Linked DNA regions of Caenorhabditis elegans. The protein of the gene in region 2 purifies or fractionates together with the protein of the main gene of each other region. This does not show direct contact. Each region holds a gene or a part of one and is shown on either strand. Other genes may lie near its edges. The genes, in order: ola-1, fbxc-54 and aly-3.

Region 1 (12,148 bases), on a different chromosome or scaffold from region 2:
GATCTTGAAATTTCCAATACTTTGTCAGTTGACAACTTTTGTATCTCAAACGGCTGACGATCTATTCCAGGTACTGTCTCTTCGGTGACACTGTCAACGTGGCGAACAAAATGGAATCCAACGGTATTCAATGCAAAATTCACGTCAGCGAGACTGGGAAGCTCAACGGACTGAAAGCTAATCCATCATACGTGTTCATTGACAGAGGAAATACGGAGATCAGGGTACTGTAGTGTAGATTTACGGAGGTCAAATATTCCATGTTTTCAGGGTAAAGGAATGATGTACACCTACTTTTTGGAACGAAACGATCGGAAAAGTGTATGGGAGTTGTGTTCAAGACCTAGATGTGAGTTTCTATCTGGATGGGTCTCGCCGCGAAATTTTTTTTATTGCTCAAAAAATTCCTCAACTTCTACCACAAGCCTTTTTCGCGCCGAGACCCAGAGAGTGTAGATAGTTGAAGAGGCACAGACATCTCGGGACCCAGCCGCTTTGTGTAGATTTACGGGGGCTTTAATGAAGAGGGATCCGTAAATCAACACAAATCGGCTATTCCCGCTACCCGCCTGTAGGCATGCGTGGGTTAGCCTTCTAACCTTTTATGCCTATTTTTCAGCTGGCGAACAAACAATCGACGGATATATGGAGCTTCACGATCAATCGATTTATCAAGAAGAAGGTGGTCAGCAGGAGAATCTGACTGTGGAAAATGGAAATTCTGCTCAAAATAACCATAATAACAATAATAATACACATCATTCTGGAAGGAAATTGGTAAGTTCTGCGGCCTACGCCTGCCTGGCGCCTACCTCGGCAATCGGTAATTACCGAAGTTACCGTACGCCAAACAATTTTAAATTACTGCTGTGCAAACACCAAACAAAAATTCAGAAAACAGGCGGTAGGCAGGCAGGCACTTACGCCTGCCTACCAGAAAACCCATACCTACAAAAACTCTTTCAGATGAATGGATCAAGTGTGGATCCCGGCAGTCATCACATCCGATCACCGACTTGCACAATTTCTTAACTTTATTTTCTTTTTTTTTTATTTTTATTTAAAAAAAAAAACACTTTTACTCTGTATTAAGTAGAAAAAGAGAAAAAAGACAGAAAAAACAACGTATTTTTGTATGAGAATTATTAATTTTTTTTTTGAAAATGTAAATATTTTTTCTGAAAACAAATAAATATATATTAATTTTTGCGTAAGTATTCAGGATGCAATCAATCAATAAATACATTTTTTTGGGGGGATGCAATGATTATCATAAGAAAAGGCCTATGGGATGAAGTTTCGGGGAAAAAATATATAGAAAATATATTAAAAATTTGAAATTAATAATTTAAAAAATGAATTTTGATCATGTTTATTGATGATCCTTTGGGTCAACAATTGGGATGACCTTTTTAGAGCGTGGAGGAAGTTGGCGGGTTCCCTGAAATTAAGAATATCGTGTCGAGACCCATCAGGGTTACTGTAGTCTTACCTGTTGCTGCTGGGGATCAAAGTACACAACATCGGTGGGCTGTCGGATCCTCTGCTGTCCACCACTACCACCACCACCTCCTCCATTATGTTGATTTCCTCCGTGTGTGGAGCCGCGTGTCATTTGTGGGGGTGGGACTACGTTGCCGGGCACAACACCGACGGCAACCATCGGTGGTGGGGGTCCCTGCACGAAACGCTTCTGTTGGTGGTTATGGTGATTATTGTGATGTTGTGGTGGACCGTGGTAGCCGCCACCGCCACGTGAAGCATAATCAGCATTGTTTGAGGAATAACCTCCCCGTGATGATGGATAGACATTGGCTGATGGATGAGGATGGGATCCACCACGGAAGTTTGTTGAAGATGCTTGATAGGAACGATCGGATTGATGGTTTGGTCGAGGTGATGAGTAATCCGTACCGGATCCTCCTCGCTGATACCCTTCACTTTGTTCTGAAGTATCAGTTCTTCTTACTCCATATCTTGGTGCTCCAGATCCTCGAACACCTCCTCTGATCGCACCAGTTCTACCGTATCCTCCAGTGCCACGTGTCACGGTGCCTCCTCCTCTGGATGCTCCTCGTATAACACCACGTCGATGATTCTCGAATCGATCATCATTTCGATCTCCTTGATGGCTATAGTCACGACGGGAAGATGATGATGGTGGTGGTGGAGGTCCTCGAGATGAAGATTCCACAGGGCGTCTGTTGCTAGCAGAAGATGGTGGAGCTCCGGATGATCGTCGTGGTGGTCCCATCGGATGGCTCATTCGTCCACGGAGTCGAGATGGAGGGCCCGACGTGGTTCCACGGCGGAGTGGAACAGCACGTCGTTGGCCACGTCGGATTGCACCATCGTCCTCGTCTTCTTCGTTTTCCTCGCTAGATGGGGGAGCTGCGGGTTCTGAAAATAGGGAGGCTTGATTGGATGTTAAAATCTTTATTGGATATTAAGATCTAAGTTTGATTGTCACTAGTGGGGTTTTTGCATCAGATTCCTCCAAAGTACCGAAAAAAAAAGCAGAGCAATTGCCAGAGAACTATAAATTTTTTGCACAAGGGGCCTAGTTTTCGAATCTAGTTTCTTAACTTAAACCCAACATATTTAAAAATCCAGAAAACTCACTCTGTTTCCTTGGCTTCTCCTGCTGCTTCACCTGCCTCTTCTGTGCTGGCCTTACACCTTGATCTTCCTCTTCTTCTCCCTTTGACTCATCCACCGTATCTTCTCGTTCTCTCTGCTTCATCGGCCTTCTCGACGTTCCACTCTTTCCGACTTTCCCCCTCGTAGTCGACGAGACTCTCCGATCCTTCTGTTGTCGGGAAACTTGTCGAGCATCCGAAGACTCTTCTTCTGTGGATTCAGGTGCTGGTGCATCGATTTCTTCGCCGTCTTGTATTGGTGTACCGTCTTTATGACGAATATCGAAGCCGTACTTGGTGACAATTTGTTTTTTGGTCTTTGGGCGTTGGAATTTCTCATCGAAGCGGTCGTGCTTCCAGTCACAGTCGGCGCGGCTCTTTTTCAGGTTTCGGCGGTCATCACTATAAATTTTCAGTTTTAGGATTCCCGTTTCCCTGTTTTGGATTATTTTCGAATATCCCCCGGAATGAGAAGCCCATTTTCGAACCAATCAGTGTCTTTGAACTCCGCCCATTTCATCTGATTGGTTGAAAGTTGGGCGGAGCAAATTTCTGATTGGTCTTGTAGTTCTAATCTTGGAGCGAATTCAAAAAATGAGCATTTGTCAAAATTGAAAAATTTGAGTAGGATTTCTCATACTTTCTGGATTTTTTTCGGTTTTTTTTAGTATTTCTAAAAACCCGCCCATATCTTGGCTCTTGTTCATTTTTTTTCAGGTTGTGCACCTACCTATCATCATCCTGAACTTGAGAATTATTAACATCGCCTCTACGATTATCATCATGCATATAAAACCTTCCAGTTTTCGGGATATACGCCGGATTTTCCACGTTCTGATCATCATCCAAATTTGATTTCTCTTCACCGTCCTCTGGGCCATCTTCTGCCGCTTCATCTGAACAGAATCTCATTTTTAACACATTTTTTCTATAAAAAAAAAAGAAAAACCCTACCTTCCTTCTCTTCAGAATCTCCACCACTTCTCTTTTTGGCTGGAGCTGGCTCATCATCGTCTTCTACTGATTCAGCTGGTTTTGCTGACTCTTGGGGAGGGTTCTGAAATGAAAAAAGTTTAATTGTGTGAAATTAAAAATCCCAACTAACCTGAGCTTCACCGTTCACTTTCACTTCTACCGTTGACTCCTCGTTTCCGCTCTTCTCAACCGTCTCCGTAGTCGCCGACTCGGCCGCCATTTTAGGTTCTAGAATACGGGAATTTTTATTCAATTTTTTGAATGAAAAATAACTTTGATAATGAGTAAGAGCTTGGTTGGGACAAAAATCGATATTTCACAAAAAAAAATACTGTGGCAGGTCTCGACGCGACGAAAAAAATGTTTTAGCAAGGGTATGTGCCTTTAAATAGTACTGTACCTCCTAGTTTTCATTTGTTGCTTTTTTATTTATTACGGGAACAAAAAATTCTGAAAATGCGTATTGCGCAACATATTTGACGCGCAAAATATCTCGTAGCGAAAATTACAGTAATTCTTTTAATGACTACTGTAGAACTTTTGTCGATTTACGGAAATCATTTGTTAATTGATAGCATATCAAAAGAACACTCAAAAATAACAAGACAGTACAAAAAACTACAGAAAATTGAATATCACTGTCTCGAAAATTAGTACCCGTAAATCGACACGAGAGCTACAGCAGTCCCTTAAAAAATTACTGTGGTTTTCGCTACGAGATATTTTGTGCGTCAAATATGTTGCGATGTACGCATTCTCAGAGTTTTCTGTTCCCGTAATAATTATGAAAGAAAAATCACTGAAAATTACAAAAAAAAAATATTTTTCGGTCGAGAATTTCGGTCGTGTCGAGACCTTATACCGTATTTTCGTGTCAAAAAAGTTTTTCATCTTAACATAAGTTTATGAGCACTTTGAGCAAAAAAGAGCCAAAATCGATAAATATTTTTGAAAAATTCTAGTTTTCAAACAATTTCCATGAGAAATATCTCTTTATTTTTCGGAAAATTTTCCCACAATGGGAACTTTTATTGATTGAAAAGTCTAATTGCTAGTTTTTTTCTAACAAAAAACCTAGAAGTTATATAATTTTTCGTATCAAAGTTTCAAAAAACGTAGATGGGCAATTTCGAAATGTGGGCAAAACTGAGCAGAAAATGTGTATTTTTAGGAAAAATCAATAACCACAGAGCTCTTGCAAAACCTATTTTTTCAAAAAACTACACGAAAAAATCCAACTGTACAAGTACAAAAAGTGGTTCAAATTGCAGTTTTAGACATAGAACACCGGCGATATACAGAGACGCAGACAGTTGTGCAGAGAGAATATTCCCTTTTTAATGTGGTGGGTCTCGTCGCGAAAACGATGGAGATTGACAGCGAGATGACAGACAAGTGGAGCCTCACAGTGGAGAGAGTACTCGGAAGTGGAGAGAGTGCAGAGAAGTAGTAGGGAATGAGAAAGAGAGACGGAGACAAGTTAGAGGAAGAATTCGATAAAAAAGGCGGGATGTTTCAATTTGAAAGTTTATTCGTTTTATTCAAGAAATTGAGCAATTTGCTTGATTTTTCTCATTTGGAGCAGTGGTGGCTTTCATTGCATGAGCCTTCTGAGCATTTTGAAGCTCGTTTTGGAGACGTTGAACCTGAAATTCAAGTTTTTTTTTAAATTTTTCAAAATAAAAAATCTCAGTACCTCTGCACTTTTGCGCATGTAACTTCCTTCCAGCACTGTCAGTTTCGACTTGTACTCATCGACCAGAGCTTTTCTGAAATTTGAGTTGTATCGGGTCTCGACACGATCAAAACTTTTATGTAAAGAGTGTGCGCCTATAAGGGGTACTGTAGTTTTTAATCCGTTTTTTTTTTAAATTTTGATACACCATTAAAGGCGCACGCGATCGTGGCGAGACCCGGAAAAAATTCAAAACTACCTTTGTTGCAATTGTGCATCCAAAGTGATTTTCAGCTGTTTTGCCTGAGTTATATTAGATTCAAGCAGTGCTGTGTCACTTTTCGTCAGGTTTAGAATCGCTGAAATTTTCGCAAATTTAAAATTAAAAAAAACGAAGCAAACGCGCTCTATTACACTTAAGCTGATCCACACGATCCGAACCAATCACTGAAGACGCGTCGAGAGCCGTATGAAAATCGGTTGCCGTCTTTGAAATCTCCACTGCCGACTCGATTTTCATGATGGTTGTGCCGAGATCCAGGGAGATGGATTGGACATTTTCCGGAGAATCGAAGAGTTTCTGTAGGGAAAAATTACTTTCTTTTTTTTTGTAAAGTTTTTAATTCAAGCTGAAATTCAGCTGAAAATCGAGAATCTTTCAGTTTTTTTGCTTAATTGCAATTTGAATTTGCGCGTTTTTGTCAAATGCAAGCGCGCTCCATCGAACAACGCTCTCACAAAAAACGCGGAAATTCAAATCGGAATTTAGCGAAAACTGACAGCTTTTCGGTTTTCAACTTGAAATATCATCTTTTCTGAAGGTTTTCGAAAAGTTTTACTTTATTTTTTTTATATGATATTCAATTATTGTACGAAAATAAAACCAACTTTCGGGTCGAAATCTCCACATTCTGGAATTGATGCAGCTTGAAGCACGATTTCATGTCTCGGTCGGAACTTGTTCTGATAAAGTGTGATACACACTTCAATCGGCTCATCGTCACGCAAAACAGCCTGATTTGGGGTTATGAAATATCGAGTTGGAGCATTTGTCTTGAAAAAATTCAGATATTCCAGAGGCTGCTCACACCTGAGCTTAAATACCAGAAATCTCCAATAAATTGGTCCAACACCAGCTAAACTATTCAATTTCAACTTTTGACACGCATTTTTTGGTTGATCAATATCGAAACACACGAATGTCTGAATAAAATTACCGGATAATTCAAGAAATTTTCGAAAATTCTCACTTGATCCAACACGACATACAACTTATGACCGTTAGACTGCTCCATTCACCACTCTTCGATTGGACTAATATTCGAAATAATCGATTTTTGCATTTTTTATACCCCTCCCCTCACCTTCTCTTCCCCAATTTCTGCTTTCCGTGGGGTCACGCCTTTTTTATTTGAACTGCCGCGCAAATCGATTTAAAGGCGCACGCATTTATACGAATGGGTCTCGTTGCGGCGTCTCTAGATTTTCGAATTATTCTCCAGCAGTTTTGGCTGATTTTCAGCTTGTTTTGTCGGTTTTCAGTTGATTTTTAAGATTTTCTTTCGAAAAAATTGAAAAATTAGTGAATTTAAAGGTTCTTCATCGCTTAAAATTTCAATCAATTTCAAAACCTTGATTTCTCGCCGGTATTTATGTAATTTCAAACGATCGGTTTTCAAACGGTTCTTGTGACTTTTAGAAGTTGTTTTGCAGAAATATTCGTTTGTTTCATCTCTTGTATCATCAGAACTCTTTAATTTCTTTCATTTTGAAAGAGTAAAACTTCAATATTCTTATTTCCAGGTCCTAGACAAAAAATCACAACCAACGCCTCAAGATGGTAAGTTTTTCTACAGTTCTCATGGAGATAAATACAAAATATTTTCTTTTCAGACTATCTCCAAGAATAATAAGATGATGGCTCATCTCAACTACAGGATGAAGATCATCCTTCAGGACGGTAGAACCTTCATCGGATTTTTCAAGGCTTTCGACAAGCATATGAACATTTTACTCGCAGAGTGCGAGGAACACAGACAAATCAAGCCAAAGGCCGGAAAGAAGGTATTGTTTTCTGTTTCTGCAGCGTTGATTGAAGACAAAAACCATTTTATTTTCAGACCGATGGAGAAGAAAAGCGAATTCTCGGCCTCGTACTGGTCCGCGGAGAACATATCGTCTCGATGACCGTCGACGGACCACCACCAAGAGATGACGATTCAGTGAGACTCGCCAAGGCCGGAGGAGCTGGAGGTGTCGGACAAGCCAAGCCAGGAGGCCGTGGAATGCCAGCTATGCCAGGAATGCCGGGAATGCCACCAGGCGGAGCACCAGGAGGCCTCTCTGGAGCCATGCGCGGACACGGAGGACCAGGAATGGCAGCCATGCAGCCAGGATATGGCGGCCCACCAGGAGGACGTCCATTCTAAAATTTTGCTATCCAAATCCGCATGTTTCTATCATTTTTCCCACCGATCTTGTATTTTTCTCTGTTCTTTTCATTTTTTGTGGTAGAAATACCTTTAATTATATATTTAATTTATCGATACTCTCTCGGGTGATCGAGATCTTCCCATCACCCACCAATCTTCGTAAGCTGTTCAGAATCTGGAATAAACTTTTTGAATTTTGAGAGATTCAGTAGGCTAGGTTTTTGATAGCTCAATGGTTTTAAACCCAGAATTCTCTATCTTCTAAATTCTCATCTTTTTTTTATTGTAAAACACTTAAAAGTCGTCAGGGAACCATCAAAAAGATGCCTCCAAAGAAGAACGTCGTCGAGGAGAAGCCCGCGTTGATCGGACGTCTTGGTACCAACCTTAAAGTCGGAATTCTGGGTCTTCCGAACGTTGGAAAGTCGACATTCTTCAATGTGCTCACCAAATCCGAAGCACAGGCTGAAAACTTCCCGTTCTGCACCATCGATCCGAATGAGAGCAGAGTACGTTCTTCTGGAAAATTCCAGCGGAATCCTCTGATTTTAAGCCTTTCCAATCGTGCGAAGTCCTTTGATTTTCGGTGTAATACACGCGGAAAACTGATTTTTGCAAAATTTTACAGTTTTCACTGGATTTTTGGACTATTTATTTAATTATTTAACATTTAAAATAGCCCCAAGAGCTGTTTTACATAGATTTTTGCTTGAAATATTATCAATTGAAAAAAAAAGTTAGCTTCTTACAGGTAAAACGCAAAATAAATAGTACAAAATTCAAAAAATTCAGTTTTCCACGTGTATAACACCGTAAATCGACGCAAGAGCCGACCTGCACTGTATAATGAATATTTAAAGCCTTCTAACAACTTTCAACCATTAAAATTTCCAGGTAGCCGTCCAAGATGATCGTTTCGATTGGCTTGTGAACCACTACAAGCCAGCTTCAAAGGTTCCAGCTTTCCTGAATGTCACAGATATTGCTGGTCTTGTGAAGGGAGCTTCAGAGGGTCAAGGACTCGGAAATGCTTTCCTTTCTCACGTATCCGCCTGTGATGCACTTTTCCATCTGTGCCGTGCTTTCGATGATGACGATGTTACTCACGTTGAGGGTAATACAAATTTCCGAATAAATTTAGATTTTCTGGATCCTCGTATAAAGCTAATTGTAAAAAACTACCGATTTTAAGCCAAAATTGACCCCCAATTACACAAAAACTGGAAATTTTCGACTGAAATTGATTATCTTCGAAAAATATTCATTTTTGCCGCCAAATTACCAGAAATTGGAGAAGGAATGCACCAGAAGAAAGCTCAAACTTATTTTAAAGCTTTATTCTCCTTTTACGATTTTCTAGATTTTTCAGACTTCTGGAGATTCCTGGAGCGAAAAATCAGTTTTGAATTACCTATTTTGCATTCAAAGAGGATAAATGTTAGGTTTTAAAAAAAAAAGACCCCTAATTTCATACCTAATTTCATATGGAAATTGCTCAGAAATGTTGGAAAAAGACAACAAATTTAGCTAAAATCTCGAAAGTGTCTCTGTTTTTGCGTAATTTAGTCATTTTTTGTTTGAAAAGTACACGTTTGGACCAAAAATTGCACCTTAATCGTGAAAAAAATGAACAAAAATTGCATTCCAGGTGCTGTGGCACGGCAAAATGGCAGTGTTTAGCTGAATTTATGCATTTTTTCGAAACTTTCATCAAGAAATTTCAGCTTTCTGGCCCTTTTGAGCCTAATTGAGCAAAGCACAGTTTTTATCACTCCAAAATAAGCCGAAAAATGTTCAAGTACGGTCAAGTGAACAATATTTGAGTTTTTTTAAAGCTATTTTAGGTCACTTTTAAAGCTTTTAGATGTCTTTTCAAGTAATTTTGAGTATATTTCAGCAAAAACTTTTTACTACTCTGAAATACGCTGATAAATGTTCCAACACGTCGGATTTCGGTACCATTTTTAAAATATATGCTGTAAAATGTTTTTTCAACAAAAAAAAAATCAAAAATTAACCAAATCAAGTCAATTTTCTTTTCAGGAGAAGTCGATCCAGTCCGTGACTTGGAAATTATCAGCAACGAACTGTTCGCCAAGGATCTTCAATTCATTGATGGTCCACTTGATAAAGTTGAGAAGCTTTTCACTCGTGCCAATGATAAAACGAAGAAAATTGAATACGATACACTTGTCCGAGTGAAAAAGTGTTTGGAAGAGAAAAAACCAGTTCGTCAAGAGCTCTGGAACGAGAAAGAAATCGAAATTCTCAACAAACACCTCTTCCTGACCGCCAAGCCAATCGTTTACTTGGTTAATTTGTCTGAAAAGGATTATATTCGTAAGAAGAACAAGTGGCTTCCAAAGATCAAGGCATGGATCGATACGAATGACGCCGGAGCAGTACTCATTCCATTTTCTGGAGCATTTGAGCTCAAACTTCTCGATATGCCAGAAGATGAGCGTCAAAAATATCTCAAGGAGCAAGGAGTCACGTCGAATCTTGATAAAATTGTTCATACCGGATACAAAGCTCTTCAACTTGAATATTTCTTTACTTCTGGAGAAGATGAGGTGAAAGCATGGACAATTCAAGTTGGAACGCCTGCACCAAAAGCCGCAGGAAGAATTCATACGGATTTCGAGAAGGGTTTCATTATGGCTGAAGTCATGAAAGTTGCCGATTTGATCGAGTTGGGAGATGAGGCTAAGGTGAATAATCGATCGATATCTGGAGTTTCAGGGATTTTCGCCTGAAAATACGGGTCTAGAAGCGACTTTAAGGAGTACTGTAGTAGCTTTTCAAGTTTTTTCCAAAATTGTTATGTATTTTTTATAAATTTGCACATGTTTTTCAAAATTTATTGGAAAACGTGGCAATTAATAAAAATACACTAGATTTTGAATAAAATGGAGAAAACCCTGAAAAAAACTAGCTCCTACAGTACTCCTGAAAGGCGCACACTCTTTTTCATTCTAGAAAATCGATCGCTGCAAGACCCGCTACCGTATTTTTGCAGCAAAAATCACAAAAATTTGCTTTTTTTGTGCTGAAAATCTTCAATTTTAAGTTCGATATTCTAATTTTCACTAAAAATTAATCTAGAAATATAAAAAAATCATTGATTGATCCGAAAATAATACCAATTTTCATTGAATAATTCGAAAAAGGCCTCAATTAGTGCCTGGAAGTTAGAAAAAAATGTCGTTTAAATTTTTTTCGGCTGAAGACAATTTCCAGGCACTATTTGAGGTCTTTTTTCGAATTTTTTTTAACAAAAATGGATTTTATTTCGAATCAATCGATGATTTTTCTATATTTTTAATATTAATTTTTGATTTAAAAAAAAGAAATTTTGAATAAAAAATAAAAATAAATAATGTACCCGGTCTCGACACGAAAATTTTTTGTTCAATTCGAAAATGCGTGCGCCTTTAAAAATTACTGTAATCGCAAATTTTCATCGATTTTTCATATTTTTCGATAAAAATTGGAAGTTACAGTACCCTTTAAAGGCGCACACCATTTCGCATTTACGAAACTTTGTCGTGTCGAGACCGAAACTTCGCTACTAACAACAAATCAATTCAAATTTTCAGTGCAAAGCCGGCGGCAAATACCGTCAACAAGGAAAGACGTACATTGTTCAAGACGGTGACGTCATCTTCTTCAAATTCAATGCCGGAGCCGGTCTTCAAGCCAAGAAGAAGTAGAATTGGAAAATTTCCCAAATTGTTCATTGCCCGGGGTTCCCAAATTTCCTGTTTAGTAGTCATTTTCCGTTTGTTTTTCTTATTTTTTCCCGATAAATTTAAAGTTTTTATTGTTATTTGCGCATAACTTGTTCCCCCGCCCCCGCAAAAATTGATTTTTGATAATTTTATATCATATTTAATGAACTTTTCAATGTTTTCAGTTGGCCGCAGATCAGAAAATGGTAATTTCTGACCATTTATTTATATATATCTCTCTCTTCTGAGCCTCGAAAACTCCCCAAAAACTATACCCGCCGTCTTGTAGATCAGCTCGGCGGTGGAGCAACTGTTTATGGCGGGTCAGCCGTCAGGATCAGGCTCCGAATCGATTCAAATAGTAAAATTGCATGCTTTTGGAAATTGGAGAGAAGTTCAGAGTCGAACTATGCCTGGACAAATTTATTATTACAATCGATTGACTGAGGTGTGGGCTTGTTTGGCAAAAGAAAGCAGAAAAAATTGGCTGAAATTCACATTTTTTAATTTTATAGAATAAAAATCTAAAAAATTGCCAGTTTTTTAGGTTTAAAACTCTCGAAAATCCCAATTTCACTTAAATTCTCACAGAAAAACCAAAAAAAAAAACTATTTAGTCTGAAAAAACGCTGGAGAAATATTTTTACAATTAAATTTGCTCTGTTTTCCAGCAGAAAACTCAAAAAAAAAACTGAT
Region 2 (10,401 bases):
TTTGTTGATTTCATGTTATAACGAATAACCGATACATTTTTTTGTTGTTTTCGTTTTATTTTTAGTTTTTGCTATATTCCATATGTACAACATCAGTTGGTGTGTGAAAAAACATTTTTGATTCACAATTCCAGAAGCCTTATCTTAAAACTAAAACAATATTACCATATAAAAGTATACCGAATTTTTCATATTTTTAATCTTTCTTGTATGAATAGTTTTTTCACCTTCAGAAATATATAATTTCAGAAAAAACAACCATGAAGGTACATCAAATAGCCGATGTCTTGTTTCGTAAAAAGACATTTGACGGAGGATCACATCTTGAATCACAAATGAAACGATGTTTAACAATTCTTGACGTAATGTTCATTGCGATTGGACACATGATTGGAGCTGGAATATACGTACTCACGGGATCCGTTGTTCGAAATCAAGCAGGACCAGCAATTATACTATCTTTTATTTTCTCTGGCTTTGCTGCACTTTTGTCAGCTTTCAGCTATGCTGAATTTGGAGCAAGGTTTATTTTATTATTTTTTAACTTTACATGTTTAAACTGATAAACTTCCAGGTTTCCCCGAGCTGGAAGTGCATACACATACAGTTATGTAGGAATGGGTGAAATTTGGGCATTCATTGTCGGATGGACAGTACCACTAGAGTACATGATTGGAAACGCCGCTGTCGCTCGTTCGTGGTCTGCTTATTTCGACAATCTTGTATCTAAAAGTGTGTCCAACTGGACATTGGATACTGTTGGACGATTGAGTGATGTTCGTGCCATTTTTGAATCAGATATGCTAATACGCGTTTCAACTTACAGGGAAAAGGATTTTTTGCACTGTACCCTGACTTTTTAGCGTTCTTCCTATTGTTTCTTGTAGCAGTGGCGGTTGCAATGGGATCAAAGTTCTCTGCCAACGTGAATACTAGTTTTGTATTTTTAAATCTGGCGGTATGTTAAAGTGTCAAAACCTATTACAAAATGTTCATTCAGGTTTTGGCGTTTGTGATTATTTGTGGACTAACCTATGCAGACTTTTCACTCTGGTCAGGAACATACCAGGATGGTCGTTCAAAATTTTTCCCGTATGGAATACAAGGAGCTATTTCTGGCGCTTCCACATGCTTTTTCGCATTTATCGGATTTGAAGCTTTAGCCACTGCTGGAGAAGAAGCTAAAAACCCACATAGAACAATCCCACTGGCTACTTTCACTTCTTTGGCAATTATAAGTGTCATATATGTACTTATGGGCGCCTCATTGACGCTGATGATACCATACGACTTAGTTGATCCTGATGCCGCGTTTGCTGCTGCATTCGAAATGAAAGGAGCAACTGTTGCCAAGATTATAATGAGTGTTGGTGCACTAGCGGGTATGTTGAACAATCTAGTTACTGGATCATTCGCTCTTCCACGAGCTGTATATGCAATGGCTGATGATGGTCTTATCTTCGGGTGGTTTGGGGTGATAAACTCAAAAACAAAAACCCCTCTCAATGCAACTATTGTGTTTACTATAATAAACGCAATTTTGGCACTGGTCTTCGATCTGCAGGCGCTTGTCGACTTTTTGTCAATTGGAACTCTGTTGGCTTATTCAATGGTCTCAATCTGTGTTATTATTTTGCGGCATCAATCCCATCTTGTAGATGGTAGTGCAACTGATTATGATAATGGTAAGATTTTATAAAGCAACACACACGTGTTTAGCAAAATTAACAAAATAAAAATTTTAAGGCGGATGCCTGAAGTCGTGGGTACCATTTCAAGGTGTTTGGGAAAATTTCTCAGAGGGGATTTCAATTCGCGTAGCTGTCGCAGGATTAATTTTTGGTTATATTTGCCTGGCAATTCCATTCAGAACAGGAATATTTAGCAATGCTGGTGGTATTATTTTATTGACAGTCGGTGCTGCCTTTTCACTGTTATCATTCGTTTTTATTTTGGGCCATGAACAGAATAAGTCAACATCTACGTATAAGGTGAACAGAAACATTTTACAAAAAATAATAAGTTCAAAAGTTTAAGGTGCCACTTGTTCCATTCATTCCATGCCTTGGTCTACTCATCAATGTCTTCATGATGGTGTATCTAAACTCAATGACTTGGATTCGTCTTTTTGTATGGTTGGCGATTGGCATTGTAATCTACATTTGTTATGGTATCCGTCACAGCAAAGAAGGTCAAAAATTGAGTAAGATTGATGTACATAATGAGATTATGTCGAGAACCTCTGATACTAAAGTTCACTGATTTCAGCCTTTTGTGCAATGCATTTTTGTATATAATATTTTAACTATAAAGCTTTATTTACAAAAACAATTGATATGGTGAATGACAGTGATTTGTGATACCAGTATTAGAGAAAATTAAAAATTACAATTGTAAAAGTTACTGTTAGAATCAAACTTTTTTGATTGGCACCGCCGTCTGGAATAACCCTGGTGCCACTGGATGCAATCCAGGTGACGTTTGGGGTGGAGCAACACCGACTGGACTCTTATTCAGTGTTGGTGAAGCTTGTGCCAACACGGCTGCAATTGCAGCAGCGTCAGCATCTTGAGGGACTTCTGTGTGCATTTGATCGTGGTGATTGTTAGATTTGGATGGTCCTCCACCAACTGGATCGGTTTGATCGAATGGGAATTCAGCATCAAATTTCATGTATTCTGTAAAAAAAAACTTCGAGATGTATAAAACGAGCACTTAGCTCACCAGTCAGATCAAGTCCTCCGGACTTGTCTACGTCAAACTTGAAAAACAATTTGGGAAAGTTTTCTCTTGGTTTGACTAAGAATCGTTCAGCAAGCACACGTTCAAGTTCTTCACGACTCAATGCCATATTGAAATCTTCATCGAAATCTTCGAAAACTTTGGCAAAGTATGCGGTCCGAGATTTTTCATTCTTGCTTGAGGCTTCGTGGAAATGCTCTTCGTACTCGGCAAGGCTCACTTTCCCGTCATCTAAAGTAGTTTGCTAATTTCTCAACGCTTTAAACATCACTTACGGTTCTTATCTAACGTATCAAACTCTTCTTTCTTTGCATCAACATATGCAAGTTCCATGTGAAGAAATTCGTCGAATGAGACTACTTTGTCTCTATTGTGATCAACACGAAGGAATCTTTGCTCTGTTAATTGATACAAATTTCAAAAAAGATGAGAAAACGTACCATGGTTTTCCTGTTTTGTATGGAAAACATTAAAATCTTCTTCTAGGGGTAATGGCACCGGAGCTGAAAAAGTTAAGCCAAAAAAGAGAAAGCAGAGAAGACGTTTAATCATTGAACAAAGAGATATAGCCAAGTAGGGAGAAATCTGCCCTTGTAGCGACGTAAGTACTTCCTTTTAAAGGGAACATCTAAGCTGTAGGCGGGTGCTAAGAACAAGTGTGTTGACCTGTGTCCGCAAGTGTGTTCAAAATACTGGTTCTAGCAAATGTGTAATGACATGATACTTACTGATTTTGTACTTGTTTTCTTGTTATCTACAATAATCTAAAAAGTAATTATTTAGACTGTTTACATGTTCTGAGGCAATTTTAAAACTATTTTATAGTGTAATTATAAATTAATACTTATGTTATTTATATGCAATGTTACTCCCAGCTGTAGTTTTCTGTTGTTATTTTTGACAACGTAAACTTATCAAAATTTTAACTTGAAAGAACATCATCATCTCGCGAAAAAATTTCTTCAAGATATTGAATCAACTAGAATATCTAATGAAATTAGCTGAATCTTCAAAAAAACTGTCATCGGCCAGCATTTGCTTCTTGAGGACGTTAATCATCTTTTACAGCACTTTCACTGAACACATACTTTAGTGTAATAACAGATTCGATGTTTGATCAAGGGATGCTGATGTTCTGAACATCAAGATTCCATACATTCCTTCTGGAGTATCCTGACAGAGAAGGAAAATTGTATTCACATTGCAACATAAAATATTAAAATGTTTATTGAGGAAAATCAGAATTTTGGAGGATTCCAAATCATTTTGAAATTGTCGATCCGCGTTTCATGATCGTCATTCTCAACGTCCATTTGAACGGTTTCCATTCAATTACCATTGGACCTCCAAATAGCACCAATTCAGAACTTTCATCAATATGCATTGTTACACAATGTGAAAAGAAGGAAGTTCTGAATGAGTCAAGCTTATTTGTATATTATAGAGTTCTAAGACCTTACCCAAGATCAGTGAGTCTTGAAGGAATAGCTTTAGAGTATTTGGTTAAATGCTCAAACACGTCGATAACATATGTATAATGCTCAACAACCAGGAAGAGTGAGGTACCAATTGGCTTCTTAGTGTCGATCCAGTTCTGAATTATATTTTTTTTTTAACTAGTAGTGGGTTAAATACTGTGCTTTACTTAAACACATGGTGTCCGGCTGTCTCATTGCGGTTTGATCGACAAAAAATGCGGGAATTTTTTTCCAAAAAATTTCACGTTAGCACGTTCTTAACCATTCAAAACCAGTTAAGAAATCTGCATCTAAATTCCCGCGATTCTCATAGATCTGCGTAGATCAAATCAATATGGGGCACTCTGACACCACGTACTTAAAAGCGCAGACCTTATTGTTCTGTTCGTGACAGGACCGGGTACCGTATTTCTGAGTGGAAAATCAAAAAGATCCGCACCAAACTTGGCCAAAGTATAATATTACAAAATTTCTCACCATAGCCAATTCTTGTAGTTTTTCAATCGGGAAGCCCAGATAGATAATGTGTACATGATTGTTTTTCAGCCGAAGAAGCATATCGTCCAACGGGACCGGATTATAATACGGAAACTGGAGATAAATCTCCTTACTGTTTTTCACCTGAAATTTATCAAAAGTTGAAGGCGGAAAGCTTGAAGTGTTCTGTACCAATTGTTCATCAAACATCCATAAAGTATTCTGACGCACCACAAACCCAATCTCCTTTAATATTTTTTGGTTATGATCAATGAATTTACGGAACTTTGCAAATGTTTCATAGTCGCATCCGTCAATTTTCAGCTCTGACACATGAAGCTCAACGTTTTTGAGCAGACTTGGAAGGGCATACAAGTGAAATTTTTTAATACGTGTTCCATTTCTCAAATATTCGGATATAAGCTTCTGGAACGCAACTTCAGGAGTTATTGAAATAATGTGCTGGAAGTTGTAGCCGTTTGAGCGATACAAAACAAGAGTGCAACCAATGATGTCAGTTTCACTCAAAGTCCACGTTCTATCATTGACTTCAATGTACAAATCTGATAACCCAACGTTTTCTAGTTTGAAAGGTGCAAGTTTGGCTGTTTTATGATATGCCGGAATCGATAAATTAATTTGCTCCCTGAAAATGTTTTGTTTTTCAATGTGTTCAAATTACATGAACACAAAATTCTGAGAATGCGTATTGCACAACATATTTGACGCGCAAAATATCTCGTAGCGAAAATCACAGTAATTCTTTAAATGACTACTGTAGCGCTGGTGGCGATTTACGCGTTCAGTAGTCATTTACAAAATTACTGTGGTTTTCGCTACGAGATATAAACATGTTGCGCAATACGTATTCTCAGAATTTTGTGTTCCCGTAATAAATACTGGTTAATTAACCGTGCGGTTAATGAACCAGTATTTTTTTAAATATCAATATTAAATAGTATACCTTTTTTTCAGGCTCAAATATTTGACAACGGATTTTACAGATTCATATGATAGTGGTGATATGTCTACACAGGCCATAATATAAAAAATCGATTATATGCAATTGTTTTTTCTCGCTGTGAATGTGTTGAAATCGATTTCGAAATCGAAAAAATATTTTCCCCCAACGACACTCCACTATCCCGCAACGAGAGATGTTTATCGTAAATCAACAGAGCAACTTTTTCGACTTTTACAGTTTTTTAATTGTTGTAAAAGCTTTTTCTTATACTCATTTAGTTAAAAGTTTGATTAAACTAATTTAAAATTATTTTTTCCAGTATCACAAATGGGGGACGATTTAGATTCGTTGACAGACCAGCTTAGCAGTGGATTTCAGGTCGATCCTCTAGCTCTTGGTGAGACTCCTTTTTTAAACACAAAAAGTAAACATTGATTTTTTCAGGTGAACATCCGAGGTATTCGCAGTACAAAAATCTTACAAAAGCTGCAGAACAACAAGCAAAGCGTCGTGAAGAAACGCTTGAGCGGCAAAAAAATGGCCGCTTTGACACATTTATGAAACTACGAAATTTAGCTTTTGATGACGTTACTTCTGACGAAGACGATGAACAAAAAATTGAGACAACTACTGCTGAAAAACACACTGGAAAATTTAAAAAGTAAGTAATTTCCTAAAAGTTCGAATTCTTAAACTAAAAAAAAACTATATTTCAATTTTTAAAGATATGCCGACAAAATGATGTTGAGTGAGTGGCTTGTGGATATTCCGGAATCACTTTCTTCCGACTGGACGATGGTTATGGCTCCAGTGGGCAAACGGACACTTGTCGTTGCATCACGAGTTTGTTTTTAATGATTTAATTATTAAAAACCCGGGATAATCTTGTATTTCAGGGCTTCACAGTTGCATATAACAAAGGCGGAAGAGAAGTATCGCGATTTCAGTCTCGCCTTCCTGGTGGAAATACTCGTGCTAAAAGTATGTGTGTTTTTAGAAATAAATAAAAAATCGATTTCAATGTGCTCACTTTATAGATCAGGCTTGGACAATTCTTGACTGCATCTACTCGAATCAGACATACTATGTGCTCGATCTTCTTTCATGGAATGCACACGAATATGTTGAGAGTCCATACGATTTCCGCCAATTTATGCTAAAGTCTAAACTTGAAGAGGCTCCTGAACTAGCGAAATCTACGCCTGGCTTCAGGAATATTTTCTCACCGATTCCCAGCTGTCCGTGCTCCCAAGATCAGATGGCGGAGCTTATGAAAAACGAGATCAGGTAATAATAAATAAAAAAACCAAAAATTGCGAAATCGGTTTATTCAAATTCTCGCTTTTTGCTTTGTTTCAAAAAGTTTCAAAATTTCAAAAAATTTAATTTTCGAATAGAATATAGAAGAAATACTGTAACATTTTTTTGAGAAATTTTCACAACGTTTAATTTAACTTGGTAGTTTTGGACCGTTTTGGGTCTGCAAATGCACTCAAATTCCCTGAAATTCCCTCAAAAAGTCAAATTTCCCTACTACACCTTTAATATTTGTTCCAGTTTCCGTCTCGATGGACTCCTCTTCTATCATAATTCGGTTGTATACCAACCTGGACAATCACCTCTAGTCGGATGGCTTAAACCATGGATGTTACCTGAAATCCTCAATGTCCCGGTACCGGAAAAATATAAGGCCGAGTCAAACGGACAATCATCTTCACAGTTCATCGAATCATTCAATCAAAAGCATAAACATCAGTCGAAAATCGATAGATCTATGGAGCATTAAATGTTTTTTATTTATTCATTATTTTATTCCCCCCCCCCCCCCCCCCTATTTTCCAATTTCCTTTTCAGGTAAGTTTTACCCTTTTCGTGTCAGAGTACTAACTCTCTCTCTTCTTGTCTTCAACTTCTTTTTCTTCGTTGAAAAAAGAAATATAATCCTTTTGTATGTCGAAATAAATATTATTGTGTTCTTCTTGTTCCCGAATATTTTCAATTTTCAACCTTTTCCATATGAGACTGCCAACAGAGATGGATAATCGTTTTCGTTTCGCTTCGTAGAACTGTCCCTCCCTTTCCCCTCTATTCCACTCAAATCCAGTCTGACTGTCTTTTTTCGAAATAAAAAGAGACAGAGAGAGAGATGGGCAAGAAAATGAAGAAAATCGGTTTTTCTGCTGCTTCGATCAATTATTTTTATCTCCTAATCCCTCTTCGTCTCTATTCACCGACACCGCTTCTTTAAAATTTCACGTTTTTTTTGTCTGTAGGATTCTCAAAAAAAAAATGCCGCCAATTTATGAACAACTTTCAAATTTTCTTAAAATTGAAGTGTATTTTTGCAATTATTACGGGATATACACAAAATTTTGAGAATGCGTATTCCACAACATATTTGACGCGCTAAATATCTCGTAACGAAAATTACAGTATCTCTTTAAATGACTACTGTAGCTCTTGTGTCGATTTACGGGTTCGATTTTCTGTTAATGAATTGAAAGCAATATATTATTTAATTTAAATGAGACAGTAATACAAAAAAAAAACGAAGGAAAATGTAATATCGCTGTCACTGAGAAATTCTTTTGAAAATCGACGCAAGATCTCCAGTAGTCATTTAAATAGTCACTGTAGTTTTCGCTACACAGATATTTTGCGCGTCAAATATGATGTGCAATATGCATTAAGTATCAGAATTTTTTGTTGCCGTAATAATAAATTGGAAAATATGTCGATTTCCACAGCTCGTGTACTCCTCGAGCAATAGTTTTAAAATGTTTCTTTTTGCTAAAGTTCCTAATTTCAGAGTATTTTCCTAAATTGTTTTTGTATTTGAAATTCTAATCACCAACTCGTATAGTCACGTGGTGTCAAGTTGTCCCATCGCTTGACTGCACACGAAAGATGGGAAAAATGTTTTTTTGCAATAATTGTGACGTCACATCGCATTTCGAATAATTGATTTTCAATTTAAGCTTCGATTTTCATAATTTTTAAATATAATGTTTAAAATAAAATTGTGTTTTTATTGCATTTTGCTTCAAAAAATGATAAAACAATTTCACGAAAATCGGCTCTTAAATTGAAAAACAATTATTCGAAGTTCGCTGTGACGTCATAAGTTTTCATGTGCAGTAGAGCGAAGGGACAGCCTGACACCACGTGAGATTTCATTCAAGAAACTGTAAAAAACCGCTTTACGACATGGAGCACATGTACTGAATAGTATAAGATTGTTCCATTTTCAAAAGATTTTCATGTGTCAAATGAGTTTTTTTTTCTCGTGGTACAAAGCATAATTGCCTATCTTTACTCTTTATTTCTCTCCCATAAGGGATCCCTTCTCTTGCTAAATGCCAAATTTCGCACAAAAAAAATGATGACCTCCAAGGTCTCCATGGTCAACAGGTTAGGTGCGTCGGAAGAGGGGCATGTACGGCCAATCTTGTTACAAAGAGAGGCATAAGAGAAAATGCAGACAAGAAAGAAGACACTTTAGAGGACACACTGTGACGCAATTATCATTAGAAATTGATTTGCTTCTACAAATATTTTACTTTCCTTTTATTCGAATTGTATTGAAAATTCCATTTTAAACATACACATATTCACATTTAGTATGCGATCTTCGAATTACACCTTCAACATATCCATTCTGATTATTTTCTCATTTATATTATCGATTTTTGCCCAACTTGACTGCGATATATTGGATCCTGCATGTCGTGCAAAGTATAGGAATGGAGTCAGACACACCGATGCTAGGAAGAAGCTCAACCACAAATGCAACTATCAGGACATTTGGCTGGTTCCCGGAAGGGCTGACGCAAGTTGCAGTATGTACTTTTCCATTTTTTGTTATCCATAATTGTTTGATTCACAAAGAAGCTATTTTTAAGCACGACCCGGAGCAAAAAAAATATTGGATATTAACCCGAGCCAAGTTCATATAAAGCCAGACGTTGTTCGATTCCCAGGATGCTTTACTTTGGAAATTAAGAATGTCAAAGTTAAAGATCTACCAGAAGCGCTTGACAATAGTTTTTTTGCGAAAGCGGAATATCAGTGGTGGAATGTAAAGGACTTTTCCAACATGAAGTGTCAAAACGCGAGTAATAATGGATGTGGTGGCTATGGAAACAATTGTTATTTTTGTGATGTATGTGAATCTTTGACCAATTTGGAGCAGAATGAAGAAGACCAATCTAATAGTTTGGCTGGGCAATTGCGTGGGATCAATTGTCCGCATAGACCTGGGTTTTATACTTTCAGAAAGGTATACACTTAAAAAATTGAAGCAGGGGTGGGCGGCAATTGCCGTTCGTTTTGCCGTTCATTTTCATTTTTGGCAAATTGTCGATTTGCCATGTGTCGGAAATGTTTCGAGGGATTTTTTAAAAGACGGAAAAACTTAAAACTGTGCTTTTTTGAAAATTTTTTCACGTTTTCTTTAATAATATCATATAATTTGCTTACTGTTCAGAATAGATGTAGCAACATTTATAGGATGTGTACAATTTTGCCGATTAAAATTGAAATTCTGAAATTTCCAAGAAAAAAGTACAAAATCACAATTTTCCGATAATTTTCGGCAAATTCGGCAAATCGATTTTGACCGAAATTCCAATTCCGACAGTTTGCCGGAAATTTCAATTTCGACAATTTGCCGATTTGCCGGAAAAATCGTTTGCCGCCCACCTCTTAATTCAAAGAGATTTGATGTGAATTTTAAGATAA
Region 3 (10,147 bases), on a different chromosome or scaffold from region 2:
ACTAATGACGAAAGCCGGTAAGTGTCGGTCTATGACAATAAGAGAAGAGCAGCTTTAGAAAGGTGGGATCGTATTGTTCAGAAATCGGATCAGTACCACTTTTCGCCCCTGACCTTTACATTTCCTATTTCCTACATTTTTCCATATTTCCCTTCCCCATCATTTCAAGACTCTTTCCCAACTAATCCCACTTCTAATTTCGTTCTTCTTCTTCTTCCAACCCTCACTCTCTCTCTTCTAATCGCCTCTGGGTGATGTGTGTGTTTCCTCCCGTAATACTGCCTAAAATGTATGTAAATATGTAGACCTTCATCTTTTTTCCCTCATATCAATCTTTTCCAATTCATCCATCCACACCGAAGAGGTCACTCTTTAATTAGAGGGTTTCCATTTGGATGTTACAATGGAATGGAAAAAGAGAGTTGACTGACTAGCTGCTCATTAGCGCGTTTCAACAAAACCACCAAAACTGAGGAGAGGACTCGTTTTCTTTTGAATTTTGAAAATAGAGAGAGAGCTCGAGAGAATTCAAAAAGAAAAAGAAGAAGTGAATATCGAGTTACCGAATCTATAATATTCTTCATGCTTTTCTCCGTATTTTTCTTCAATTCGACCCCAACTATTTCAACATTAGTGACTGAACTGAGTGGCGGGAGAGCACTGTGCTCGTTGGCACTTGATGTCAAATCAGCTCGCAAATATGTCTAAGTCTCTGATGAACATACATTCTATTATATCCCTGTCGATCCCATTCACACAGGACAACACAAACAACCGGGGCGTTTCGCGCGGACACTTTTCGATTGAATCTCAGACGACGGCGACACGCGTCATATCATACAGATGAATCGGGTAAACTTGAGAAAAATAGTGGTAAAAGGGTGTGACAGTTGTCGTCCCTCAAAGAGTCAGAGATTCCACAATTTGATAGGTGTGAATGGAATTTTTTATCGAATTATGTAGAGTGACATCTAATAGGAATCGCGAACTGCGGTGTCGGTAAAAAGCGTAATTTTTCGAAAAAAAAACTTTAAAATTTGGTCAATTTTCTTATTTTAAAGAAGCACAAAAATTTGACAAAAATTGAATTTTTTGATAATTTTCTAAACAATTTTTCGGTTTTTCGATTTCCAAATTATTTTAGCCAAAAACTGTATAATTTTTCTAAAAAATGCACGTAGTTCTCGTGGAGACATCAGGACATTTTCAAAGCTAAAATACGGTAAAGGGGCTCGATACGACAATTTTTGTTAAATGCAAAATGGTGTGCGAATTCAACTTTTGTTATTGCCGAATTTATATCGATTGCTCGTAGGCTTCGACAAAATTGAATTTATGTATTTTAAAAATTTCGCAGAAACAAAACTTTTAGATTACAGTACTCTTTAAAGGCGAGCACCTTTTTGTATCAAACAAAAATGGGTCTTGTTGAGATCGGTTAATATTGCGTCTGTGTAATAAGGTGGGTTTAAATTAAAATGAATGCCAAAAATAGAAAATAGGCCGAAAAAAGAGTTAGAAACCCTAATATTCATTTCAAAAATTCTAGATTTCCAGAAAAAGAGCAACATTGTTTGTAGAATTGCACCCACCCATCTGGTTGTATTTAATTGAATATGGTTACCTTATTGCCTACTCTTATTTACCATTTTTCTATTCAATCTCTTCTATTACCTCTTTTCATATGTTAAAACGGTTTCTTTGAAACTGTACCGGCACGCGCCTCTTCCCTCTTTCTCTTTCTTATTTCTACAATAATAAATTGGTTAGGAAACAAAGGAGACACAATCTCTCGGACCTATGAAGATGGCCTTCGCCTCTTTTCAAGTATCCAACTTACGATCACAAACTCGCAGTCATCTCTGTCAATTCCGCGAAAGTCATCGATTCGAGTCTTTCGAAGTGACTGCACATCTTGGAATTGGTGCCATGCATAGTCTTCGAGAATTTGATCTACATCGACGTGATTCATTTTCTGAAATAAAAAAAAATTGAGGAATGTTAGAAATATTATTTTAAAGACACATAAGTGAAAGAAACTGAAGAAAATATTGTTGAAGCGCAGAAAAACGATATATGGGTCTCGTTAGGTAGTTGGCAGCAAATTCAAAAATCTTCAAGATTTTTTCGTATTTTTTGTAATTTTTTCTGTTGTTTTTAATGATTTTAGTGTCGAAAGTGATGAAATAAAATTCGTAAACAAATGGAAAACCTTCTTGATTTTTCAACTTGACATGAATTTCTATAAATATCATTTCGATAGAAAACTCGACAAAACTAAGGATTTGCCACCAAATACCTAACGAGACCCATGGTGTGTGGGCGGAGCGCGTTTCTACGCTTTCTGTGTCCTCATAATAATGATATATTAGGAAAATTTCGAAATATGAGGACAGAAGTGAAGGAAAACAAAATGGAATAGAAAAGTAAAATGAAGCCAATCAGTGAGAGGTATTAGGAAAAAGAGAGAATCCCTTGAGAAACTCTTTTTCTTTTCATCGATAAAGTTGATGAGTCAAATGAGAGAGTAGAGAGTGAGAGAGAATCACAGGCGGAGGTATCGAACTCGAAATTTACACACAGATTATCATTAACAACAATGATAACATTACGGTTGAGAGAACACACTGTGAGTGCATTCTGTGCTTGGAAGGGGAGGAATAAGACAAGTTTTGAAAGGGGAACCGACACAATAGAAAAAGCCGGTTGAAAAGAGCCAAAAACGGAGAAAGAAGAATAGAAACGGCCTTTATTGCATTTTTTAGGGCATTGGAAACTTAATATTTTAGAAAGCAACAAACGAAGTGTTTAAGCTTTGTTCAACATTGAAAAGTTATCGTAATCTTCTACTTAAAGGCGCATGGGCTCATTTGGTTGGGTCTCGCCGGGACAAAAATCAATGAAACCTTAGCAGCAACGCTGGTTTGAAGTTACAGTACTCTTTAAAGGCGCACACCTTTCCGGAGTTAACAAACATTGTCGTGGTGAGACCTGGTACCGTATTTTGACACAAAAAAATCGGTTCAAAAACTTCTTAGAAGTGAAAAAACAGAAAAAGTGATATTGTTTTTCAGCCTGTCGAATTTTATAGTCGTAGATTTTCCCACGACATTTTCTCCCGATATTCTTCAATTTCCGATAATTTATCAGAAGATTATGGGATGCGTGTGAAAATGTATAGATGGTGAATCAAATAACATTTCAAAATACTGATCTATTTGGTTATAAAGGTGCTGTTTGACGTCATAACCGTGGTGAGCCGTGTGTCAAAAAGATGTTGAAATAAGGGGAGGAGCACAAGTACAGTACCCCCTTCGTGTGCCAAAAGAATACAGCTGTTACAAATCAATAAACACAGGAAAAGAAATGAGTCACAACGAGTCTATGGAGTTGACGCGCGTTTCCCCGCAAAAATGGGTGGAGCCTGTTAGGAATGGAATGGGCGGAGAGATGTTTGTGAGGGACTGAAGGAGGGGAGAATACTCTCATTCACTGCGGGAGATTTCGAGTCGATAACGGGAAGAAATAGTTGAATGGATGCAGAAACGCAGATAATTTCAATTTTCCGACTGTAAGAATTTTTCCGACAGTTTCTGTTTCTGAGTCATCAAGAGCGTCGTTTTTTGATTATTGTTTTGCTCTATGATGTCAATTGTTCTAAACGGTTGTTTCTTTATTTAGGCATGTGAAATTAGGTTTCTCAAAATTAAAAATCCCTATTTTTGCCAAGAAATTCTGAAATCTCGTCATTGGAGAATACTACGAGGGGTTCTTGCACTAACTGCTACCACATCTAACTGCAAAAAAAATTATAAAAGTTTTCTAAAATTATTTTAGGTTTTTTTTCAATTTTGAAAAAAAACTCTTGCTTGTAAGATTTTGAGGTATTTTTCCGCAATGAAAGCATGACAACTTGCTAGAAAATCGTAGAAACTCTAACATTGACCTAATTGTGCAAAACAAATTTTAAATTTAAAGAAAAATCAATTTATGTAACGGGAAAACGCAACAAATCGGAAAAACTGAACATTTTTTTTTGAAAAATAGGAAATCAGAGTAGATAAATATTTGAAAATAGTTTTTTTTTTCTAGAAACCGTATAAAAATACCACAGAATTTGATCGAAAAACAGAGAAAATCGAAAAACAAAATAAAACAACCTGTGTGCTACTGTCAATTACCTTAAAGGGACACACTCCTTTCGGGGTGCGGGTCTTGAAGCGCTAGAAATATCTTACTGTAGAATAAAATTCATTTTTGTTTTTTGTTGTTGCATGGATTTACAGCTCAGTTTTGCTATACAAAATTTTTACTTAAAAAAATCAAAATTTAGATTTTCTGTCGGATGACATAAATATTGGGAACTTTTGAAATAAATAAATTCCCAAAAAAAGCTCACCACTACACCTACTCTGAATACTCTCTCGTGCCAATAATTCACTTTTACGTCGCCGATTCCAAGATCATTAGGCGGTGAGCATTCTGAGAGAGCATTCTAGTCGTGGAGACCCTCTTTTCGTCTCCGATTTTTCTGTATTCACTTACACGCAAATTATAACGGGAAGCGGAAAAAAGCGATTCAGAGAGAGACAAACGAGAATGTTATAGATCGACTCTCTGTTGAGAGGGTTCCCGACTAAATCCTATTACCTGTTAAGAACATGATTAGAAGGCGTTGTGAGATGGTGGAAATCGATAAAATAATTTATTGTCTGGTGGTAGTTATCAGAAAACACTACATAAAAACATGGAATGACAGAATCTAGAGCAATTAGATTTTTGAGAGGTGAAAGGCAATAAATATCACACACGAATATTCAACAAGTACATAAAAATACAAATAATAAATTGATCACTGATTCTTCTTTTCTTCTTCTTCAGTAGTAGCCGTATCCTGGGATGTCTCATCTTCACTAGTAGATGTTTCATCCGGTTTCGTGTCGTTTTTCTTTTTCATATTAGAAATCTCAAGCGGGAACCATCCTTTGTTCCGTGGATCCGACTCTCGGAATCCATATACCCAGCCAGCAATTCCACGTGTTGCCACGATTGTTTCACCAGCCGAAACTTTGAGACATTTTCCATCGATAATCGGTTGTTTCATCCAAACTTTGCAGCCGAATTTACGAGATGCGCAGCAGGTCCCAGCAAAATCTTCGCTGATGGTGATTATACGCGAACGACCACGCTTCGATTGTTTCTGGAGCAGTTGATCGATCTGAATATAAACATTTTTAACGGATTTTATTGTAATTCAATTTTTAAATGAAAAACTTCAATGTTTTCATTCTAAAAAAATAATTTAATGAGCTTGAACTTACTGTAAACGTAAACTGCGTGCATCCGTTCACAACTGGCCACCATGTTCCATTTCCTCTTGTCCTCCCGTCAAAAATTCCAATAAAAACTTCACGAAGATTTCTCTTCCAACCAAGATCATATGGATACGTCCATTCACCCAGACTCTTGATCCATTCAATTTCTTCTTCATCGTCACCTTCATGGACTTTACGCATGTTCAGAGACTTTCCATCTGAAAACACAGTAGGTATTTTTAAAAAAATTGTCAGAAGCAGCTCACGAATATAGTCTTCAATTCCATTTCTGTTTCGAATCACATATCGTAGTTGAGTTATGAATAGAAAAGTGAGAGCCAGAGCAACAGCAATGGCCATTGCGATTGCAAATACGAGAGCAATGAAGGAAATTGGTGTAAGAAGGATTATAGGCTCCGTTCCATCGCCATATTTCTGATACCATCCAGCAAAGATTGCGTGATAGAGTGCTGAACCATCAATGATAGTCGAGTGAATACATCCAACAACTGAGAAGAACAGGAAACGAAGGAAATATTGATGGTTTCGGTGACCGACACAATTGTTGATCCAAGCTGAAATATAATATAATTTGTAGATTTTTGCAAAATCATAAAAATTTAAAAAATTGTATTATTTTATTCCAGCTATATTCGGTAAATATATTGAGAATCTTTACTGTCTGTTCGAGCAAAAAACCCGACGATACTCTATCTATTATTTATTGAAGAAGCTCGGCCTAATCTAGAAACTTACGACAATGATGATCCATTTTCATACAACAACGATCACATTTTGAGCAATGGTGAGATCTTGGAACTTTGAATCCGTTGCACGGAACACAAAATTGAAGTTTCTTCTCGTCGGCTGCATTCTCTGGTCTCCAGCCACGTGGCACATATCCTGGACCGAAGAATGAAGCGTTGAAGAGATTTCCTATTGTTAAATAATTCCACAATAAAAATGTTAGTGTATTGAAAAGTCCCATGTATGAAGTAACAGGCATCCACTGAAGAGCAAAAAATGTTGTTACTGCTCCAATCTGAATCAAATATTATTTTATAATGATCAAAATTATATAAAAAATACCATGGTTATTGTGGAGAATGCAAAAATGGTTCCAAAATGGAACATTCGTCTAAATACAGGCTTATCTCCAATTTCTGCAATTGGAGCAGGCCAATCCGGAGTCTCCACCACCTCACCCGTCATCTGAATTGATTAAATTTCAATAATAAAATATTTAAAATTAAATCAAATTTCGAACATAATTGTGGCGACCTGGGTGAATCCACATAACTGACAACGATATTCTTCCATCGAAAATCGACTTCATACTTGATCCAATAAGAAATTATTGACGCTCAGTTTATTATTTTATCGAATTTTTAAAATGTGGACAAAAAGATCACGAGAAAGGAAAGTAGTAGAACGATAAATATAAAAATTGGTGATTGTGTAAAATATTCCGAGTTATTAATGTGATAGAACAACAGAAGGATCAGAGATTATAGCAGATATCAAGAATGTTCAAAAAGTGATTTATAGTTTAAAAAAAAAGTGCTCAGGCATTTCGCTTCGCCATGTAGGCTTCGAGCTCCGCGTCGAGTTCAGCTTCGGTCTTCTTTGGTTTTGCATCACGAGCTCCACCACGGCCTCCCTTGCGGAATCCACCTCGACCAGCTCCGCCTCTCTTGATGTCACCGGCGTGCACTCCGTCGCGGAGGAAATCTTCTGGTTCTGAAAATAAAGATTATTCTGGTGAACACAATTTAATCATTAAAACGTACTGCCATTGTTTCTGCGAGGACCCGATTGGAATCCACGAGATGATCTTCCCGGTGAACTACGAGATCTGTTTCCAAAATCGACTCTCCCAGCCATGTTGCTCGAATCAATGACGGCGAATTTCATGATCTGAAATATTCATGTTCCATTTTGTGTCACCTGAGATCAGGATTTGGGTAACGGAGAAATCTTGAATAACCAAGTCTCGAGCCAATCAATTAATGCGTGTCGACAGCAACGGCTTTCCCCTCACAATCCATCTCACGACACGGGTCAAAACTAATTTCAACGAGCTTCATCGAATGAACGGCCACACTCAACAAAAAAACCTCAACACAGGTTTATTAAGTCTCTTTTTGAAAGGAAACAACGAGATTCTGATTGCCTGGGTCTGTTGTTGCGTACAGTAGATTTCTGTGAACTGGTAGAAGAAGAACAGAACGCATTCAGGAGCGTCCGCTGGAGCACACACTTTAATCAGGATTCAGCCCCAATTGATTGTTTCAAAGTCTTTGTTATCGATTTGTTGTATCCCAATGCAATACCTTTCCATCTAGAGCGACACCGCTAAACTTCTGAACAAGTCTCTCAGCATCACGTTTGGTGAGCGAAATGTCACCAGTACCCAATGAATCACCTGAAAATAAATTGGTTCAATACGGTTGCATATATTATCAAGCTTACCATGCTCGTTGAAGTTGACCGAAACTGAGCTGAGTCTGTAGTCGCCGAAGAGTTCCTCCAAATCGCTTGAAATGACTGTTGGGGCAAGATTAGAGATATTTACTCTAATAACCTTGCTATCTATAATCAAAATGAGTAGAAAATAAGATACATATTGATTTGAAACCCACCATTTCCTCTGCTTGAAATTCCATGATTCTGAACCGCGTCCAAGTCTTTCCATCCACCACTTCCGCCGGAGCGGCGTGGAAGTCCAGTGGGTCTCGTATTTCCTCGTCGAGCTCCTCCGAAGGATTTCTTTTGAATGCTTCCAGTTGTCTTTCTGGTTTTAGAGATGATGTCCTCAAGAGACAAATCGACATTGGTAGCCTTAACCATTTTTCGAAGATTGTTGGAGTTGAAACTGAAACGTTTTTCAATTGAATTAGAACGACAACATTTGGTTTAAGATCAAAAGTAAGTTCACGGGAAAAAACAAAGAAAAAAATTATAATTATTCGGAAGAGCAAATGTAGCGGAGACCAAAGTGGAATGAGAAATAATGAATGAAAAGATAGGAATGAGCAAATGAGGAAACTGAGAAAAACGCTGCGTTTGGTGACCGCGACGCGTACGCAACGCGGTCAACAGCATACGTTACCTCTTATTTGAATAAAATTCTCAACACATTTTTTTGCAGAGAATTAGGGAAACAAACAAATTGACAGCTTAAAATCAGTGTAGAGAAATTTTAACGTTTTTCAAATAATAATTCAAAGTAAGAAAAAGGATGGAAACAAGTATTTAAAACTAACGACACAACGAGTGGCTCATACAAAAAGTTTATTACTTCTTAAGGCCAATTGGCAACGAAAAATCATTCTTGAAAATTATTTTGAGACCAGTGATGTATATCTAGCAAAGTAACTAAATAGGATACAGTATTCATCGACGCAGAATTAACCGTATAAAATTCATCGCATCATCTTCTTCTTCTTGATCATCGTTGTCAAACTCTGGAACATGATCCCAATTTTCCTCTGTATCGCCTTCTTGTAATTCGTTTTGAAACGTAATTCCTTCTCGTTGAATTCCGAAAAAGCGTCGTGGTTCACGAGTCATGCTGATATATTCCCATCCAAGGTGTTCATGACATCTGGAGCACTGAATGATAATCCATGCGTACCTGAAAATCTGACTAATTTAATGATAAAGAGGTATTTGAATAAGCTGACTCTGGAAACCATGTGAATTCATATGATGGTGGTGTAGCTCGATCATAGTTTCGTATTTCTGACAGTAAGGTAATTTTGTGAACAAATCCGTGAGCATTAACATGAGTCATTGTTTGATCTGGAAGCCTCATGATATGTTCATTGCGGAAAATTGGAATGCGACATCTAGAACATCTCCCGACAAATACTTTGAAATACTTCAGAGCAGCAACTATACGACCGTTCGCTGAATCTTCTTTCAAGAGACTGTACTCAGTTAGCCGATTAGAGAAAATATGCTTTGCAGCAAAATAGCTGAAGTATGTGAGGCCACGATCTTTAGCTTGTCTCACAGTGTCATCTCCAAGCATTCCTGAAAGTAGTCCCACGCATTCATTCACAGCACTTTCTGTAACATCTCGAATAGCATTGAATGGATATCCATTGATTCGGGTTGCAATTGAACGTTTTTCGTGAGCAGGTAAATGTATTGCATATTTCGGAATAAATGATGGAAGTAACGATGGAAGTTCGACGTCTGGTAGCAATTGTACTTCTGCTTCACCACGCCCTCTGAATTTGAAAGAAATTAGAAGGAAATTATGTTTCGTAAAACTTACAAATTATACTTCAAAACTTTACATCTGTAGACGCCCATCAACTCCATACTCAGAGCGTTAGAATTTGCTTGAACAACTCTAGAAAGTGTAGCAATATATGGGAGTGATGTGCATTCTGGAATATCCAATGGAAACAGTACAACAAATCCATTAGCTCGAGCACTCGATACAAGTCTTTCATAGATTTCTCGTTCATCATCGTGGAATTTCATCGGGAGTTGTTGCCCTGTAAACTAATATGAAATCGGGAGGTTTTTCTTTTTAAATGTAACTCACCAGGAAAACAAACAGCACTGACTCCACAAATCGGAAACCAATTTGTTCCATAATCTGTGAGTCTGGCTTCATTTTCATAATTTTCTCTATTTTCATTGTCTTGAAGAGCATAATCGAATCTGTGAGTCACGTCAACATTCAGTCCTTCCATGGCTTGTGGCTCCGCATCTTCTGCGTCATAAAAATCTTCTGATTCTGATTCATCTTCGTCTTGAATAAGTTCCATTTCTTCTTCGCTCATTTTAAAAACAAAATTAAATAGGATAAAAAC

The links.
Region 1: the proteins of fbxc-54 (region 2) and ola-1 fractionate together in Caenorhabditis elegans (co-fractionation; one large-scale study listed by BioGRID). This does not show direct contact.
Region 3: the proteins of fbxc-54 (region 2) and aly-3 fractionate together in Caenorhabditis elegans (co-fractionation; one large-scale study listed by BioGRID). This does not show direct contact.

The regions. Positions count from the first base shown.
Region 1 is NC_003279.8:13,332,305-13,344,452, forward strand, and holds ola-1 (Obg-like ATPase 1), read left to right. Parts: upstream 1-8,022; 5' UTR 8,023-8,044; coding exon 8,045-8,230; intron 8,231-8,615; coding exon 8,616-8,835; intron 8,836-9,764; coding exon 9,765-10,432; intron 10,433-11,320; coding exon 11,321-11,434; 3' UTR 11,435-11,648; downstream 11,649-12,148. Other genes in the region: Soluble guanylate cyclase gcy-35, read left to right, coding at 71-224, 271-349, 620-777, 967-1,032; casc-3 (Protein CASC3), read right to left, coding at 1,373-1,441, 1,493-2,400, 2,623-3,041, 3,370-3,535, 3,594-3,696, 3,745-3,834; W08E3.4 (Major sperm protein), read right to left, coding at 5,156-5,260, 5,311-5,383, 5,549-5,648, 5,704-5,869, 6,178-6,492, 6,540-6,584; snr-2 (putative small nuclear ribonucleoprotein-associated protein B), read left to right, coding at 7,127-7,129, 7,183-7,353, 7,410-7,718; wac-1.2 (WW domain-containing protein), read left to right, coding at 11,769-11,900. UniProt on the Caenorhabditis elegans protein: Hydrolyzes ATP, and can also hydrolyze GTP with lower efficiency. Has lower affinity for GTP. Plays a role in regulating starvation-induced thermotaxis responses in AFD thermosensory neurons.
Region 2 is NC_003280.10:27,162-37,562, reverse strand, and holds fbxc-54 (FTH domain-containing protein), read right to left. Parts: upstream 5,845-10,401; 5' UTR 5,739-5,844; coding exon 5,662-5,738; intron 5,344-5,661; coding exon 4,890-5,343; intron 4,842-4,889; coding exon 4,698-4,841; intron 4,337-4,697; coding exon 4,203-4,336; intron 4,155-4,202; coding exon 4,004-4,154; 3' UTR 3,952-4,003; downstream 1-3,951. Other genes in the region: F23F1.6 (Cationic amino acid transporter C-terminal domain-containing protein), read left to right, coding at 261-523, 575-776, 827-958, 1,001-1,685, 1,747-1,991, 2,038-2,262; F23F1.2 (EF-hand domain-containing protein), read right to left, coding at 2,413-2,678, 2,725-2,973, 3,018-3,140, 3,183-3,294; F23F1.5 (Snurportin-1), read left to right, coding at 5,989-6,058, 6,106-6,322, 6,387-6,504, 6,558-6,642, 6,699-6,948, 7,219-7,447; F23F1.4 (DUF7753 domain-containing protein), read left to right, coding at 9,284-9,500, 9,564-9,940.
Region 3 is NC_003282.8:12,121,332-12,131,478, reverse strand, and holds aly-3 (Chromatin target of PRMT1 protein C-terminal domain-containing protein), read right to left. Parts: upstream 8,198-10,147; 5' UTR 8,166-8,197; coding exon 7,958-8,165; intron 7,908-7,957; coding exon 7,788-7,907; intron 7,741-7,787; coding exon 7,649-7,740; exon of another isoform or gene 7,233-7,648; coding exon 7,106-7,232; intron 7,056-7,105; coding exon 6,880-7,055; 3' UTR 6,670-6,879; downstream 1-6,669. Other genes in the region: lin-24 (CABIT domain-containing protein), read right to left, coding at 1,841-1,972; dhhc-6 (Palmitoyltransferase), read right to left, coding at 4,853-5,218, 5,322-5,533, 5,582-5,890, 6,072-6,357, 6,405-6,527; M18.6 (CULT domain-containing protein), read right to left, coding at 8,712-8,952, 9,002-9,553, 9,601-9,826, 9,877-10,102.